Linked DNA regions of Cricetulus griseus. The main gene of each other region encodes a partner of the protein of the gene in region 2 in a complex. Links are inferred from orthologs where the notes say so. Each region holds a gene or a part of one and is shown on either strand. Other genes may lie near its edges.

Region 1 (4,656 bases), on a different chromosome or scaffold from region 2:
GTCTTGCCTCTCCTGGTAGTCTCCTCATTCTGAAGGAGTTAGGCCTCCATAGAGGTCAGGTCGGTGGAACGGGAAGGAAGAGTGGGGTGTTTCCAGACTCAGGGAGCTCCTTCCTGCTTGGGCGTGTCTACTCCCAGTGGGCACAGGCCCAGAGAGATCGGGGTGAATGGGGCTTTGGAAAGGAGTTGGGCAAGAGCAGAGGGTCCCAAACTGATTTTTTTAAGCACCAGCAAGACATGGAAAAAGGTGCCTGCTGGCAAATCTGAGGTTGATCCCTGAGAATCCTGGGTTTGGAAGGAGAAATTCAAGTCTGTCTCGGTGTCTTCTAACCCCATAGCCTGTAGGCACCTGCACACAAGCCCCCACACCTACACCCGACTCCCTGAGACACACAAAAGAAATAATTTTTTAAAAGTATGTTTACATATTTAGGAATATATGTAACAACAATGAAAGAAAAAAGGCTATAAATTTAAGAGAGCAAGGAGGAGGCATGTGGGAAAGTTTACAGGGAGAAAGGGGAAATGATGTAATTTCAAAAGAGATTTAAAAATCAAACCAAAATTAATATTTGGATGCTTTTACTTAAAAATAGTACTTAATAAATACAATTATGGATCACTTACCATATATTGCTGGGGTAGTGTATGATGGACTAGTTTAAGGGGTGAACAAATTCGTTTTGTGGGACACTGATAGAGAAGAGTGCTGGGAGCTAAGTACTAAGATTTTCCTCTGGGATGTAACAGACTGAAGTTTTCAGAATGTATGCCTTCTAAGCAAACTGGACAACGTGGGTCTTAGATCAAAGCTTAATCCTAATGGCAATAAACCCTCTTAGTTTGCTTAGGATTTCAAAGAAAAAAAAAGGAGCAGTGCGTGCGTGTGTGCGTGTGTGTGTTATACATACACAGATTTCATAAACTCACACCATACAGGCAAATATAATTGCACACGAAGCAGATTAAGAATTGGCGGTGTTGTTTATACAGTCAATGAAATATGTACTGCATTCATCGTAACCTTCCTTCAGGTATTAGAGTTTCAGACTGGGTGTTCGGTGCATCTTATTTAGTGTTCGGTGCATCTTATTTATTTATTTTATTTTTTTTATTGATTTATTTTTTGAGACATGGTTTCTTCTCTGTGGCTTTGGAGGCTATCATAGCACGCGCGCTGCAGACCAGGCTGGTCTCGAACTCACAGAGATCCGCCTGCCTCTGTCTCTCGACTGCTGGGATTAAAAGCATGCGCCACCAAGGCCAGCCTCTGTGTGGTTTAAATTTCAGCAACCTCATTAGGAACTGTGTGGGCCCGTTGCCCCAGTTTCCTGACCGGCTTCTATACACACACACACACACACACACACACATTGCTTCCTGTTGGCTACCAGGAGCGCGGGGGCCAAGGGAAGGGGTTTACCGACGTACCCGGAAGTGTTTTCGCGGTTTTTCTTTTTTTTTTTTTCTGGGTTGATAGACGCTGCGGGCTCTTGGACCCTAGGCGTCCGGGACCCTTGGAGGAGGCGCGGGAGCGCTTCCTCGGCCCGCCCCTTGGCGGCTTCGGCTACCACCACCATGGCTCCTGTGTCGGGCTCGCGTAGCCCGGAACGGGAGGCCTCCGGGGGGAAACGTCGCAGTTCGTCGAGGAGCCCTAAGCCCAGCAAATCTTCCCGCTCCCCGCGGGGTCGCCGCTCTCGCTCGCGCTCTTGTTCTCGGTTCTGTGATCGGAATGGCCTGAGCCATTCGCTGAGTAGCTTCAGTCAAAGCTCTCGAAACCAATCTTACCGCTCCCGCTCGCGATCGCGTTCTCGAGAGCGGCCCTCTACGCAGCGGAGTGCCCCTTTTGCTTCTGCATCCTCGTCCGCCTATTATGGCGGCTACTCGCGCCCCTATGGCGGCGACAAGCCATGGCCAAGCCTGCTGGACAAGGAGAGGGAGGAGAGTCTGCGGCAGAAGTGAGTGAGATCGTCGCCCCCTCGCTTGGACGAGTCTGCCGGTTTTGAGTCCCGCTTGTCGTTCATTGTTTCTGTTTGTATTTTCGCTTCCCACCCGTCTCGCACCTTTTTCATCCTTTTCTTCAGTCCACCCCAGATCTTTTTATTGATCCTTTTCTAACTTACATTTTCATTCATCCTTAGACTCCTTCATAAAGTGTCCTGTTTTCTCTCTGCCTACATCCTCCCCTGTCTTTGCAGGCAGATATTGCTAGGAGCCTCGGCTCTATTGTATTTCCTTAGTTGTGTCATTGTCTGTGAGCGTGTCTTTTATTCTTCACTCAACTGGACTTGTGGAAAGTAGAGGTCTTATTTTGTAGATCACACACTTCGTAGTAGCTGCCGTTCCTTGTTGCATGAAGGGACAGACAATTTCGAGATAACAGGAAATGTCAGTGGAAAAGTTTTGTGGGCATTTGGGAAGGATTGTAATTAAGGATCTATATTGTATAGGAGGAAACCTTCCTCTATGCAAGATTAGATGAATGTATCGAAAAGTGCTCTGTCAAGCTGTAGATGAGGCCACATTAGGAAGAGTTTTGTAAAGTGGTCTCAGGCGATTTTAAAAACGATGAAAGAATGAGATCTGATCTCTAATGGAGTTGTTTAAAAACACCCACAAACCTGTAGTTGCAATAGCTGTGAGGTTCTGGAGGGAAATCAGACCAGTGTTGTCCTCATCTACATAGCAAGTTTAAGGCCAGCCTGGTATGCATGAGACCATGTCACAAAAATACTTGAATTTAAAAAGCTGGGCATGATGGCTCACTCCTGTGATTCTAGCATTCAGAAAGCCGAGGCAGGTTTGCCGTAATTAGTTGGAGGCCAGCCTGACTACAGAATAAATTCAAGGTTGTCCTGAGGGAAAGGTAGACCCAGAGAGAGAGAGAGAGAGAGAGAGAGAGAGAGAGAGAGAGAGAGAGAGAGAGAGAGAGAGGCTTGTATATCTCATATTTATGAAGTTGATTATGTTTGTTAAATGTTCTTTCTTAGGCATTGTACTAGGCCTTGTACCATGTGTTTAAAAAGGATAAAAGTTAAAGTATTACAGGCATTGAGGGGCAAGTTAGCTTTCCAACTGTAGAGAGATGTTTTCATGATTTTTCTTCTTCCACTAGGGGAGGAAATATAGTAAAAAAAAAAAAGGCAATCACACTGCCTGAGTTTGAAGGCTTTTTTTTTTTTTTTTTGCCTTGGAGCAGGGTAGTGTTGGGAAAGTTAGTTGACCTCTCTGAGCTTCACTTCTTCACCATTAAAAAGGAGTAGAAGCTGGCATTGTAACTCAGTGGAAGAGTGCTTGCCTAGCAAACCTGAGGCCATGGTTGGAGCAGTACTCCAGTAAGGGGAGAAGGAAGTTACTAACAAGGCTATTAAGGTTGTAATAACTTCCATAAGTGCATGGAAACAGAAACAGTAAGACAGTTCTGAATTCTTTTTCAAGTTAGGGTTTCTCTGTAGCTTTGGAGCCTGTCCTGGAACTCACTCTGTAGACCAGGCTGGTGTCAAACTCACAGAGATCCCCCTGTCTCTGCCTCCTGAGTGCTGGGATTAAAGGCAAGCGCTACCACCGCCAGGCTACGGTTCTGAATTGTTAGAGACTTACCTATCCAATTTAAATTGTTCAGCATGGTATAGTACCCACAGAGTATGTCAGTCAAAACTCAAAGTTGAGCCAGGAGTTTTGTGAGTGCATGTGTCTAATCCCGACACTTGAGAAAAATGGTCAGAACCATCAGGAGTTGAAGGCTAGCTAGACCCTGCTACATGAGATCCAGTCTCAAAAAGGGGTGGAGAGGATTTACTGGAATGTTGTAACTGCTTGGATGAAATTTGCATTTTACTTTTAGATGAGATGAAGTTTGGTGTGTCTATTAAACATTATGTCTTAGGCACAATAGTAGGCTTTGTACAATGTGTTTAAAAATGAGCATCAGGTATGAGACTTTTTGTGTCCTTTGTGGTTGGGCAGGCAGTCTTCAATAGTTACAGATGTATCCCCTTTTTTTGGGGGGGGGTTCGTGATAGGGTTTCTCTGTATTGCTTTGGAGCCTATCCTGGAACTAGCTCTTGTAGACCAGGCTGGCCTTGAACTCACAGAGATCCTCCTGCCTCTGCCTCCTGAGTGCTGGGATTAAAGGCGTGTGCACCATCATTATCATCATCATCATCATCACCATCATCTGCCTCTGCATCCCGAGTGCTGGGATTAAAGGCATGTGCCGCCATCATCATCACCATCAGCAGCAGCAGCCGCCCCAGCAGCAGCAGCAGCAGCACCACCACCACCACCCGGTCAGATGTATCCCTTTTTAAATGATCTGTTTTCACAAAATACAAAACCTTCATGTCTGGCTCTGTGTAGTTATAAATAACTTTTTCCATGATCACAGAAGTTAAAAGAAAAGAAAGTCAAGCCAATTATATTTCTTTTGTAATGCCTTTTTAAAAACTGTGAGTTGCAAATCACTACACTTTAAGGAATTCTGGCTTTTTTCTCCCCTTCAAATAATTACTTTTATTTTCAAGTAATTATTTTTATTTTATTTATTTTTTGGGGGGAGAGGTTGAAACAAGGCCTCTCTGTATAGCTGTCCTGGAACTTACTGTGTAGATCAGGCTGGCCTCAAACAAAGAGATCTGCCTGCCTTTGCCCCCCAAGT
Region 2 (4,707 bases):
CTCACCCTCCAGTCATCTTTCAGACCTCAACTCAATCTCTTATTATTTCAGCTAAGACCAGCCCTATCCTAAAGCTAGATAATTCTGCAAGTATACACACTTACAGTCAGTCATGTATTCCCTCACAGGACTTACTAAGCAAAGGTACAATATTAAAATTTTGTCATTTTTCTTCACCATTGTATCCCTCATACTTAGCACAGGGCATGGCCTACATAGAGGAAATGCCTAGTAAGTATTTTGTTTGTTTGTTTGTTTGTTTGTTTTTCCAAGATAGAGTTTCTCTGTGTAGCCCTGACTGTCCTGGAACTCACTCTGTAGATCAGGCTGGCCTCAAACTCAGAGATCTGCCTGCTGCTGCCTCCTGAGTGCTGGCTCAAAGGCGTGCATATTTACTGAACAATCAAATGAGTGAATGATAATTTATTGACTAGTAGGCTCCTTCTACTGCTGCCACAAGGCCTCATTGAAGAGCCTGGCCTCGAGGTGCTTCCCTCACCAGTCATCACCCACGTTGAAGGCATTAAGGCTCTTGGTGAAACCCTGCATATTGGTGGGGCTGACTCTCTGCAGGAAGTCGATGTAGTCCTCAGAATGGAAGCGGCACATGTCATGCTGGGAGGCCTGGTAAGGCTTGAAGACCTGGAGAATGGAGACAAAAGTGAAGTTGTTACCTTGAGCACTGCCTAGATGCTAGCTGAATTTCTACACTACCCTGATCTTACCCTTGAAGGCAGGATGCCTATAAGGCAGAAATTCCTCTCAGGGAGGCCAGCCAAACAGGATCAGCCCAAGAAGGCTACCAGAGTGACCAACTAGACAAGACCTCACTTAATTATAATCCCACCAAAACACTGAATGATACTCCCAATTCCATGACAGGGAACAACTGCCATGGTAACAACTGGAAAGCAAAAAGAGAGAGAAGAGTGCCTGAATTCCCAGAAATTTTCTGCCCAGTCTCAGGGAAAAAAAAAAATCCTTTTCTTTATCAGTCTATTTCTCTTACCTCCTTTTTCACTCTATACAAATTCTTTTTTAATTAAAATTGATTTACATTATTTCACTGGGGTGCGGCAGGGGAGGGGGGTAGGTAGGTATGCATGCCACAGTGAAGCCAGGGATAACTTAGATGTCAATTCTCTCCTTTCACCATGTGGGTTTCAGAGTTCAGACTGAGGTCACCAGGCTTGGAGCCAGGTACCTTGACCCACTGAATCATCACTCTAACCCCCATACCTGTAACCTCTTGATTCCTAAGAGTTGTAAAGTTTATCTCTCATTTATATTCTTGACCAAGAATAAAAGTCCCTTTCACTGTTCATTTGACACATGGTCTTGTTACTGGTTCCAGAATTCCAGGAAGGGGTCGGGGGCCGGGAGGCCCAGTTTGAATGCAAAACCTAACAATAAACCCAGGCATTACTATGCCAGCCCCAGGCTGAGACCACTTACACTGAACCCAGCCATGGAGACTGTCCAAAACATATATAACAATCTCCCTACCCCCATCCCTTAGTGAAGAAGAGATGCTATTAGCCAGGCAAGCTACTTTTATCAAGACCCCTGAGGATCATTTCGTCTAATTCCTCTCTTCAGCCCAGTCTCTATCTTCCCAGCCCACTTCTCCTGGCCCACATGCCTGTTCCTAGCTTCCTCAGTCCTGGTTCCCTCTATACTTATCTCCTCTCTTAAACTCAGGTTCTGGTCTCTTCTCTGGGTTTTTCACCATGGGATCAAATCCATGAGATATATGACAATCTAACTGAAATCCAAAGTCCTAAACCAAAGATTTATTATCCTCGGTGGGGGTAGAGGTGGAAGTTCAAACAATGATTTGAAAATTGGGCAAGAAACACTTTTTTTCCTCTCCTAGAAAACGGATAAATGGACACAGACAATTTTAGGGGATTCAGACTTGCACTAATACCACCTCAGTCTACTGTACACCCAAACCACTGCCTGCGCCTAAACACACCAATGACATGTTGAATACCTTCATGGTACACAAGGGCCAGGCTTGCTACATGAGAGATGGGAGAGTTGAGCAGAACCATATAGATACATTCTATATTAAAAAGTAAATTCCTGCCAGGCAGTGGTGGTGTACACCTTTAATCCCAGCACTGGGGAGGCAGAGGCAGGCGATCTGAGTTCAGAGACCAGCCTGGTCTATATAGAGTGAGTTCCAGGAAAGCCAGGGCTACAGAGAAACCCTGTCTCAAAACAACAATAACAACGACAAAAAAAGTAAATTCCCATATTCTCTACACATACACACCACAAAGGAGTGCAGAGTTGTCCTAGCTCCTTTCAGGTAAATGGAGGAGGAGAAGGCGAAGGAATTATGGGTGAAATGTCATTAGAAAATAGACCCTCATCCTTGGTCCTGAACCACTATCCCCTCTACAAAGAAGAGGGGCTAGAGGTGTAGTTCAGTGGCAAAGTACTCACTTAACGTGTGAAACCCTGGATTCTATTCACTAACACTTAAATAAATGAAGTGAAGGGATGAGCCTGTCGCCCTAACCCTAGGCCAGAGGCTGGTCTCCCCTCAAGTTAAAAGGAAGTCCCATCTAAGGTCAAAAATGTATGTCCCATTACGAAAGGGGACACCCCCGACTCAGTACCACCACCACCACCGCCATGCATATAGGAAACGTTCACGGTGCCTTCTATCCTGCTCCCCCTCTAGCGGCAGGTTGCACCTGGTATATCCAGCCCACCTAGCCTAAGGCCGCAGCTTGCTCCCAGGCCCAAACCCCCACAGAAGTGTCAGGACTCACGATCATCTTCTTATAGAGACCATAATGCAAGACTAGGCTATGAGTCAACGCCAGGCGATGGGGCTTCATCGGGTGCCCAGCTCCTGGGGATAGGGAAGGAAAGAGTTGGTCAGTTCCCACCCCTAGAGTTGCAGCCCTTCCCGGGAAACCTCTCCTCCCGCACAACTCTGTGCCCTACCGTAGTGGAAGTTGCCCACATCGGGGTCGTAGAAATACGCCACGGTCTTGGCCATGATGTTGGGGGACCAGGCCCCGAGCCTCAGCCGCCCGACCGCCGCCGGCCGCCAGCCCCACCCCCGCCGTGCGTGCTGCGCAAGCACGCAGCCTACCGCTGCGGAAAAGAGCCCTCGGCCCCGCCTCCCAAGATCACATCCAGACCACGCCCCTAGTGGGAGTCCCGCCCCTTGTGGGAGCTCCGCCCCTTCCCTTGCTGTCCCGGTCCGGATTCTGAGGCTTGAGACTCCGTGCTTGGGCGGGACCCGCGGCGTTATTCATAGGACACAAGGGCCGTTTCTTTCTGGACGAGGGTCATATCCTCGGGAAACCGAGTCATTCTGTCCACCCACTAGCCCCAAACGGGTCTTGGGGCAGCGTTCCCTCTCTAGGAACCTCGGAAGGTCTGGGCATCCTGCCTCTCTCAGGTGTAGAAAGCCAGATTTTCCCAGGCGCTAGGAAGATTGCTGGCTTTCCACTCATCCGGGGAATGTGAGGGCAGGACCTGTGCCAGACATGAGGGCTAGACCAGTGGCCAGAGCCCCGCCTGACCTCCCGACCACCCACGAGGACCCAGACTCACGCCGCACATTCCTCCTGGGGGAGGGGGCGGCGCAGTCACGCGCACATCTCACTTGCGTTCACACACGCGTAAGGCTCACGCTCTCCGCCCCGCACACCTGTGCTCCGCCCCTTGGTCCCGGGCCCGTGACACGATAGGCATTTGGGAACCCAAGACAGTTTCAGAGGCGCTCCCCCATCTCCTCCATTTCCCGGGCAGGAGTGGTCCGGAGCCTGCCGCGGCTCCCAACCAACCGGTCCACATCTTCCGCCATCCTTCCCTCCCCCCGTCTGCCGCGGCACCGGTATCCGCAGCCACCAGCCCGGAGCCGGTGAGGCGGCATAGGGGGGAGGGGGAGGAAGCAAGGGATGAGCTCCGGGAGGGCGTCGGGGGCCCTGAGCCGGACGAGGACGCCCCTGGAACCGGGACCCGAGCCAGAACCGGAGCGGGAGACAGAACCAAACCACCGGTACCGGGTGGGCCAGGTGGCCAGGGTGGGAGGAACGAAAAAGAGGGGACCCAGGAATGCAAGGAGGGGAGGGGGCTGTACGAGGCCTGACTCAGGCCGGTGTAGAGGAGGTATCAACACTGACTCCAGCGTGTTTTCTGAGCTCGCTGTTTGAGAATTTCGTCCCACCTTGTGCTGCAGTGTCCTTGGAAGGGACGGGGGCGCGGGATGAGCTGTAAAAAATAGCGGTCTGGATGTCAGAAAAGTGGGGCTGGGTCGTGGCAGAGGGCTTTCGTAGATGCCATCTGGCCTCCAGCCTGTGGCGGTCTTGGCCGACCAGCACCCTCAGTCTGGACAGCTCCTAGGTTCGGTCGGGGGTGGGGCGGACCTCTTATTGCGGATCCTAAGATACCTTCCTACTCTGCGGGTACCCAGCTGCAGCCCACTAAACCCAGGAGGCGCCCTGGCCCGCGCTCGCCCCCCAGGGCCTCATGTCGGAACCACAGCCTGGCCTGGAGCCGCCCCAACATGGGCTGTACATGCTCTTCCTGCTTGTGCTGGTCTTCTTCCTCATGGGCCTTGTAGGCTTCATGATCTGCCACGTGCTCAAGAAGAAAGGTTACCGCTGCCGCACATCTAGGGGCTCAGAGCCTGATGATGCCCAGCTCCAGCCCCGTGAGTGAGGAGCCTAGAACCCT
Region 3 (4,573 bases), on a different chromosome or scaffold from region 2:
TAGAACTCTCTTTGAAGACCAGGCTGGCCTCCAGTGCTGAGACTAAAGGCATGAGCCCCCACCACCAGACTGAGACCCTTCTTTTATTTATTTTTATTTTTGGCTTTTTTTGAGACAGGGTTTCACTGTTTAGCTCTGGTTGTCCTGGAGCTTTGATCTGTAGATCAGGCTGACCTCAAACTCACAGAGATCCACCTGCCTCTACCTCCTGAGTTCTTGGATTAAAGACATGCACCACCCCCCGAAATTTTTGTTTGCTTTTAATTTAATTTATGTGTACGGGTGTTTTGCCCGCACATATGTCTATACAGCCTGTGTATGCAGTGCCTGCAGAGGCCAGGAGAAGGCATTAGATCCCCTGGAACTGGAGTTACAAACAGGTGTGAGCTGCCACGTCGGGGCTGGGAATTGAACTAGGGTCTGTGGAAGAACAACTAGTGCTCTTAGCCAGTAAACCATCTCTCCAGCTCTCCTGCCCCTCTTATTTTGTATTTTGCTTTGCTTTGAGACAGGGTTTCTCTGTGTAGCTCTGGCTGTCCTGGAACTCACTCTGTCCACCAGACTGGCCTCAAACTCAGAGATCTCTCTGCCTCTGCCTCTGCCTCCCAAGTGCTGGGATTAAAGGTATGCGCCACCACCAACACCATTGCCTGACTTGACTGCCTGGCCTTGTTCATTTGTTTTTTTAAAACAACAGGATTTCAAATAGCCCAACCTGGCCTCCATCTTGAAGCTCATCTTGAACACATGTTCCTTCTGCCTCCACCGACAGCCTGAGCACTGGGATTGGAAAAGTGCATCACTATGTCTGGTTTACATAGAAAGTATATGCCTACCAAATCTTTTTTTTTTTTTTTCCTCTTTTTGAGTGTCCTGCATCAGGTGCTGCATTTGATCCCTAGCACTACATAAACTGTTCCTGGGTATTATATGTAACACATGCCTGGAATCCTAACACTAAGAGTCAGAGGATCAGAAGTTTAAGGTTATCCTCCACTTTTGTAGGGAGTTTGAGGCCAGTCTGGGATAGAACTCTATATGTCTCAAAAAAGTGGGTGAAGTAGATGAGAAATGCACTTGGAATGTGTAGAACAAACATGAAATAAGAGTCCCAGGGTAAAGGAAGAGGGCCATGAAGAAGTTAGATGAGGAGGGCTCGGGAAGAGAGTACTACACATAGAGAATGGTTGGTGCTAAGCTATTCATGGCGAGATCAGGAACAGCAAGGTCTGGGTGGAGGGGGGCAGCATGAGCAGTCATGGGGCTTAGAAGCCTTAACCTCCTCTTGTTTCTTCTTGTCTAATAGATTCCGGGACCCAAAATCCCAGCGGACACACCAGGCTCAGGTGGCCTTTCAGGTGTGCGTGCGCCCTGGCTCCTACACTCCTGGCCCTCCTTCTGCTGCTGCCCTCAGAGAACTTCCTGACCAGCACTTCAGCCCATCGGAACTTGAGTGGGTCACTAAGGAAAAAGGAGCCACACTCCTCTATGCCCTGCTGGTACGGGTGGAATAAGGGGTGAGATGCCACTACTACAAGCACAGCTGGGTCTCAAGCCTCCACCTCATTCCAGTGACTTACAGCATGGATAGGTGCTTTCCTGGCAGGAGGAGCACATAGACAGGCTTTGATTAGACCAGGTGTGAAGCACATCTCTACATTCAGGGCCCAGCACACTCCCTCTGCTGAGAGGGAGCTTGTAGGGAGCCCAGCTCCAGGCTCTGGGCCCCCCCTTCATGCACTGATTTGTGGAACATGACTCCCTATTACCCTCCCCCATATCACTTAATTTATTTCCGTTTTTGTTCTGGTTACTGTGAATCCCAAAGGAGTCTCTCTGTGCCCACACGAAGCTGCTTTTTCCGTGGCCACGGGGTGCCATGGGGCGGGAGTGGGGAAGGAAGGGCAGGCAAGGAAGCTGCGGGCCCTCTGTACAGTTGTTACTGACTCTGATTTCTAAGGAGCCAATAAATACTGTCTTCAGAGTATGTGCCTCTGCTTCTGTCTCCCGCGGCCTCATGAGGTGAAGAGTTCCGAGGGCTCTTGGCATGAGGTTAGATCTTCCCAGGCCTCTAAACCCACATGGAATTTGGACAACCCGGCACCCGTCTCCAAGCACTTCCGCCTTTTCTTTCATCCAACCCGCTGAGGCGGCTTCCGTCATGACTCCGGAAGGATTTATCCTGGCCGCCGGATGTGACGCGGGAATCAAGGCGCGCCGGAGGCCACGGAGAAAGCTCCGAGAAGGCGGGTAGGGGGGTTGGCGCCCGGGCTGCGAGGGAGGGGCGGGGGCGCGGAACCTAGGACCCCCGCGCGCGCGCTGGCGCTGAGGCTGAGACCCGGGGGAACGCTGGTGCCCGGGACACGTGACCGAAGCGGCGAGCGGGCGGCGGACTAGCTTCCGCCTTGGCGGGTCTCAGTCCATCTAAGCTCCCACTTCCCTGCAGGCCCCGCCTGAGGTCTGGCAGTCAGTGACAACAGCCGGGCACCCACTGCCCAAGCGTCATCAACAGCACCATGCCCGCACTCTTGGAGCGCCCCAAGCTTTCCAACGCTATGGCCAGGGCTCTGCACAGGCACATCATGATGGAGCGGGAGCGCAAACGGCAGGGTGAGCCAGGGCCAGAGCGGGAGGACAAACACGGCCCAGGGTGGCTCTGCTACCCACGAACTTGCCCCCATCCACGGGCCAACCTGTGCGCCTGCTGGCAAGGCTAAGAGGGAGGAAGCGGCGCCTTCAGGGTGTGAGCGAAGAGGCCCAGTCTAAGTTCCAGAGCCCTGGGCTGGGAAGGACCTTGGAGAGCAACTAATGAAGCCTCCTTCTCCTTATGGCTGTGATGGAATAACTGGTTTTTGCTGGTCTTCAGTGTAACACTCAGCTTATTTTCACTGTCCTGCCACTTCCCCGTTCTGATTCTTCAGAGGAGGAAGAGGTGGACAAGATGATGGAACAAAAGATGAAAGAAGAGCAGGAGAGAAGAAAGAAAAAGGAGATGGAAGAGAGGATGTCACTAGAAGAGACCAAGGAACAAGTAAGTAACTCCTCATTACTGCCAGTTCTGGTTTCTTCTTCTCTTCCCTTTCCCCACTGTTATCTGCTCATCCTTCTTCCAGATTCTGAAACTACAGGAGAAACTTTCAGCTCTACAGGAGGAGAAGCACCAGCTTTTCTTGCAGCTCAAAAAAGTTTTGCATGAAGAAGAGAAACGGAGACGAAAGGAACAGAGGTGTGATGATCAAAGTAAAATTGTGTGGTGGAACAGGTGACAAAAGAATCTGTTTAATAGCAAAAGGAGGGCTACTTACTGACTGCCCTGTCTTCCTTTCACTCCAGTGACCTAACCACTCTGACATCAGCTGCCTACCAGCAGAGCCTGACTGTTCACACGGGAACTCACCTCCTCAGCATGCAGGGTGAGGACTAAAGAAACCACCTGACAGAAGGGGCTCTCCTGGAGGTTGTAGCCTCCTATTTCAGCATCATGAAGCCCCTCTCCCTTTCTAGGGAGTCCTGGAGGACACAACCGCCCAGGTACTCTCATGGCAGCTGACAGAGCCAAGCAGATGTTTGGACCCCAAGTGCTTACGGTGAGGATGAGTCTTCTTTGAGGATTTATTTATTTATTTGTTTGTTTATTTATTGCGCCCTAAGAAGTCTTTTATAAGCTCAGGCTGACTTTGAAGTCACTATGTAGCCAAGAATGGCCTTGAAATGTAATCCTGTCTATCTGTCATCATGCCTAGCTTGAGAAAAGGCTTGGACGTGTAGTCCCAGTTACTTGCTCCTATATTGCTGGCACCCCAACCATCATTAAAGTACAAACATACCAAGCATGTAGTGTGTAGGAGCTCAGTTGAGCATAAGGACATATGGAGTGAGTTTTTTCTAGGTGCTGTGTAAGCAGTGAGTTTTCATTTTCCCTCTAAGACCCGGCACTACGTGGGATCGGCAGCTGCTTTTGCAGGAACCCCAGAACATGGACAATTCCAAGGCAGTCCAGGGGGTGCTTATGGAACTGCTCAGCCCCCACCTCACTATGGACCTACACAGCCAGCCTATAGTCCTAGCCAGCAGCTCAGAGGTGAGTGTTGGTTCTCCTCGGAGCAGAGGGAAGAACAGCAAGACCAACAAGAGCTAATGGATGTCTCCTACCTTCCCAGCACCGTCGGCATTTCCTGCCGTGCAGTACCTATCACAGCCGCAGCCACAACCCTATGCCGTGCATGGCCACTTTCAGCCCACTCAGACAGGTGATAATCCCCTGCCTGGGCAGGAGCCCTAGCTTCCTGAGTCCTATCATTACTGCTCATTTCAAACAATTCCCCCATTAGGGTTCCTCCAGCCTGGTGGTGCCCTGTCCTTGCAAAAGCAGATGGAGCATGCCAATCAGCAGACTAGCTTCTCTGATTCAGTGAGTATAGAGTATATAGAGCCTTGGGGACGAGGGGAGCCCCAGTCTATCTAAGGTCAGCTTTGTCTTTACAGTCTTCTCTGCGGCCTATGCATCCCCAAGCTCTGCATCCAGCCCCTGGACTCTTGGCTTCCCCCCAGCTCCCTGTGCAGATGCAAGCAG

Evidence for each region.
Region 1: Hdac3 (region 2) and Nkap share a complex: the UniProt entries of both Homo sapiens proteins name them as parts of the notch corepressor complex. The link is inferred for Cricetulus griseus from reciprocal best matches to the Homo sapiens genes HDAC3 and NKAP.
Region 3: Hdac3 (region 2) and Gps2 share a complex: the UniProt entries of both Homo sapiens proteins name them as parts of the N-Cor repressor complex. The link is inferred for Cricetulus griseus from reciprocal best matches to the Homo sapiens genes HDAC3 and GPS2.

Annotation. Positions count from the first base shown.
Region 1 is NC_048604.1:29,376,786-29,381,441, reverse strand, and holds the start of Nkap (NF-kappa-B-activating protein), read left to right. Parts: upstream 1-1,455; 5' UTR 1,456-1,577; coding exon 1,578-1,957; intron 1,958-4,656. UniProt on the Homo sapiens protein: Acts as a transcriptional repressor. Plays a role as a transcriptional corepressor of the Notch-mediated signaling required for T-cell development. Also involved in the TNF and IL-1 induced NF-kappa-B activation.
Region 2 is NC_048595.1:199,688,070-199,692,776, reverse strand, and holds the start of Hdac3 (histone deacetylase 3), read right to left. Parts: upstream 3,126-4,707; 5' UTR 3,020-3,125; coding exon 2,965-3,019; intron 2,870-2,964; coding exon 2,787-2,869; intron 643-2,786; coding exon 500-642; intron 1-499. Other genes in the region: Rell2 (RELT-like protein 2), read left to right, coding at 4,501-4,684. UniProt on the Homo sapiens protein: Histone deacetylase that catalyzes the deacetylation of lysine residues on the N-terminal part of the core histones (H2A, H2B, H3 and H4), and some other non-histone substrates.
Region 3 is NC_048600.1:83,762,002-83,766,574, forward strand, and holds the start of Gps2 (G protein pathway suppressor 2), read left to right. Parts: upstream 1-1,514; 5' UTR 1,515-2,246; exon of another isoform or gene 2,247-2,250; intron 2,251-2,446; 5' UTR 2,447-2,516; coding exon 2,517-2,610; intron 2,611-2,921; coding exon 2,922-3,031; intron 3,032-3,113; coding exon 3,114-3,226; intron 3,227-3,333; coding exon 3,334-3,413; intron 3,414-3,504; coding exon 3,505-3,587; intron 3,588-3,927; coding exon 3,928-4,081; intron 4,082-4,160; coding exon 4,161-4,250; intron 4,251-4,331; coding exon 4,332-4,411; intron 4,412-4,485; coding exon 4,486-4,573. UniProt on the Homo sapiens protein: Key regulator of inflammation, lipid metabolism and mitochondrion homeostasis that acts by inhibiting the activity of the ubiquitin-conjugating enzyme UBE2N/Ubc13, thereby inhibiting 'Lys-63'-linked ubiquitination.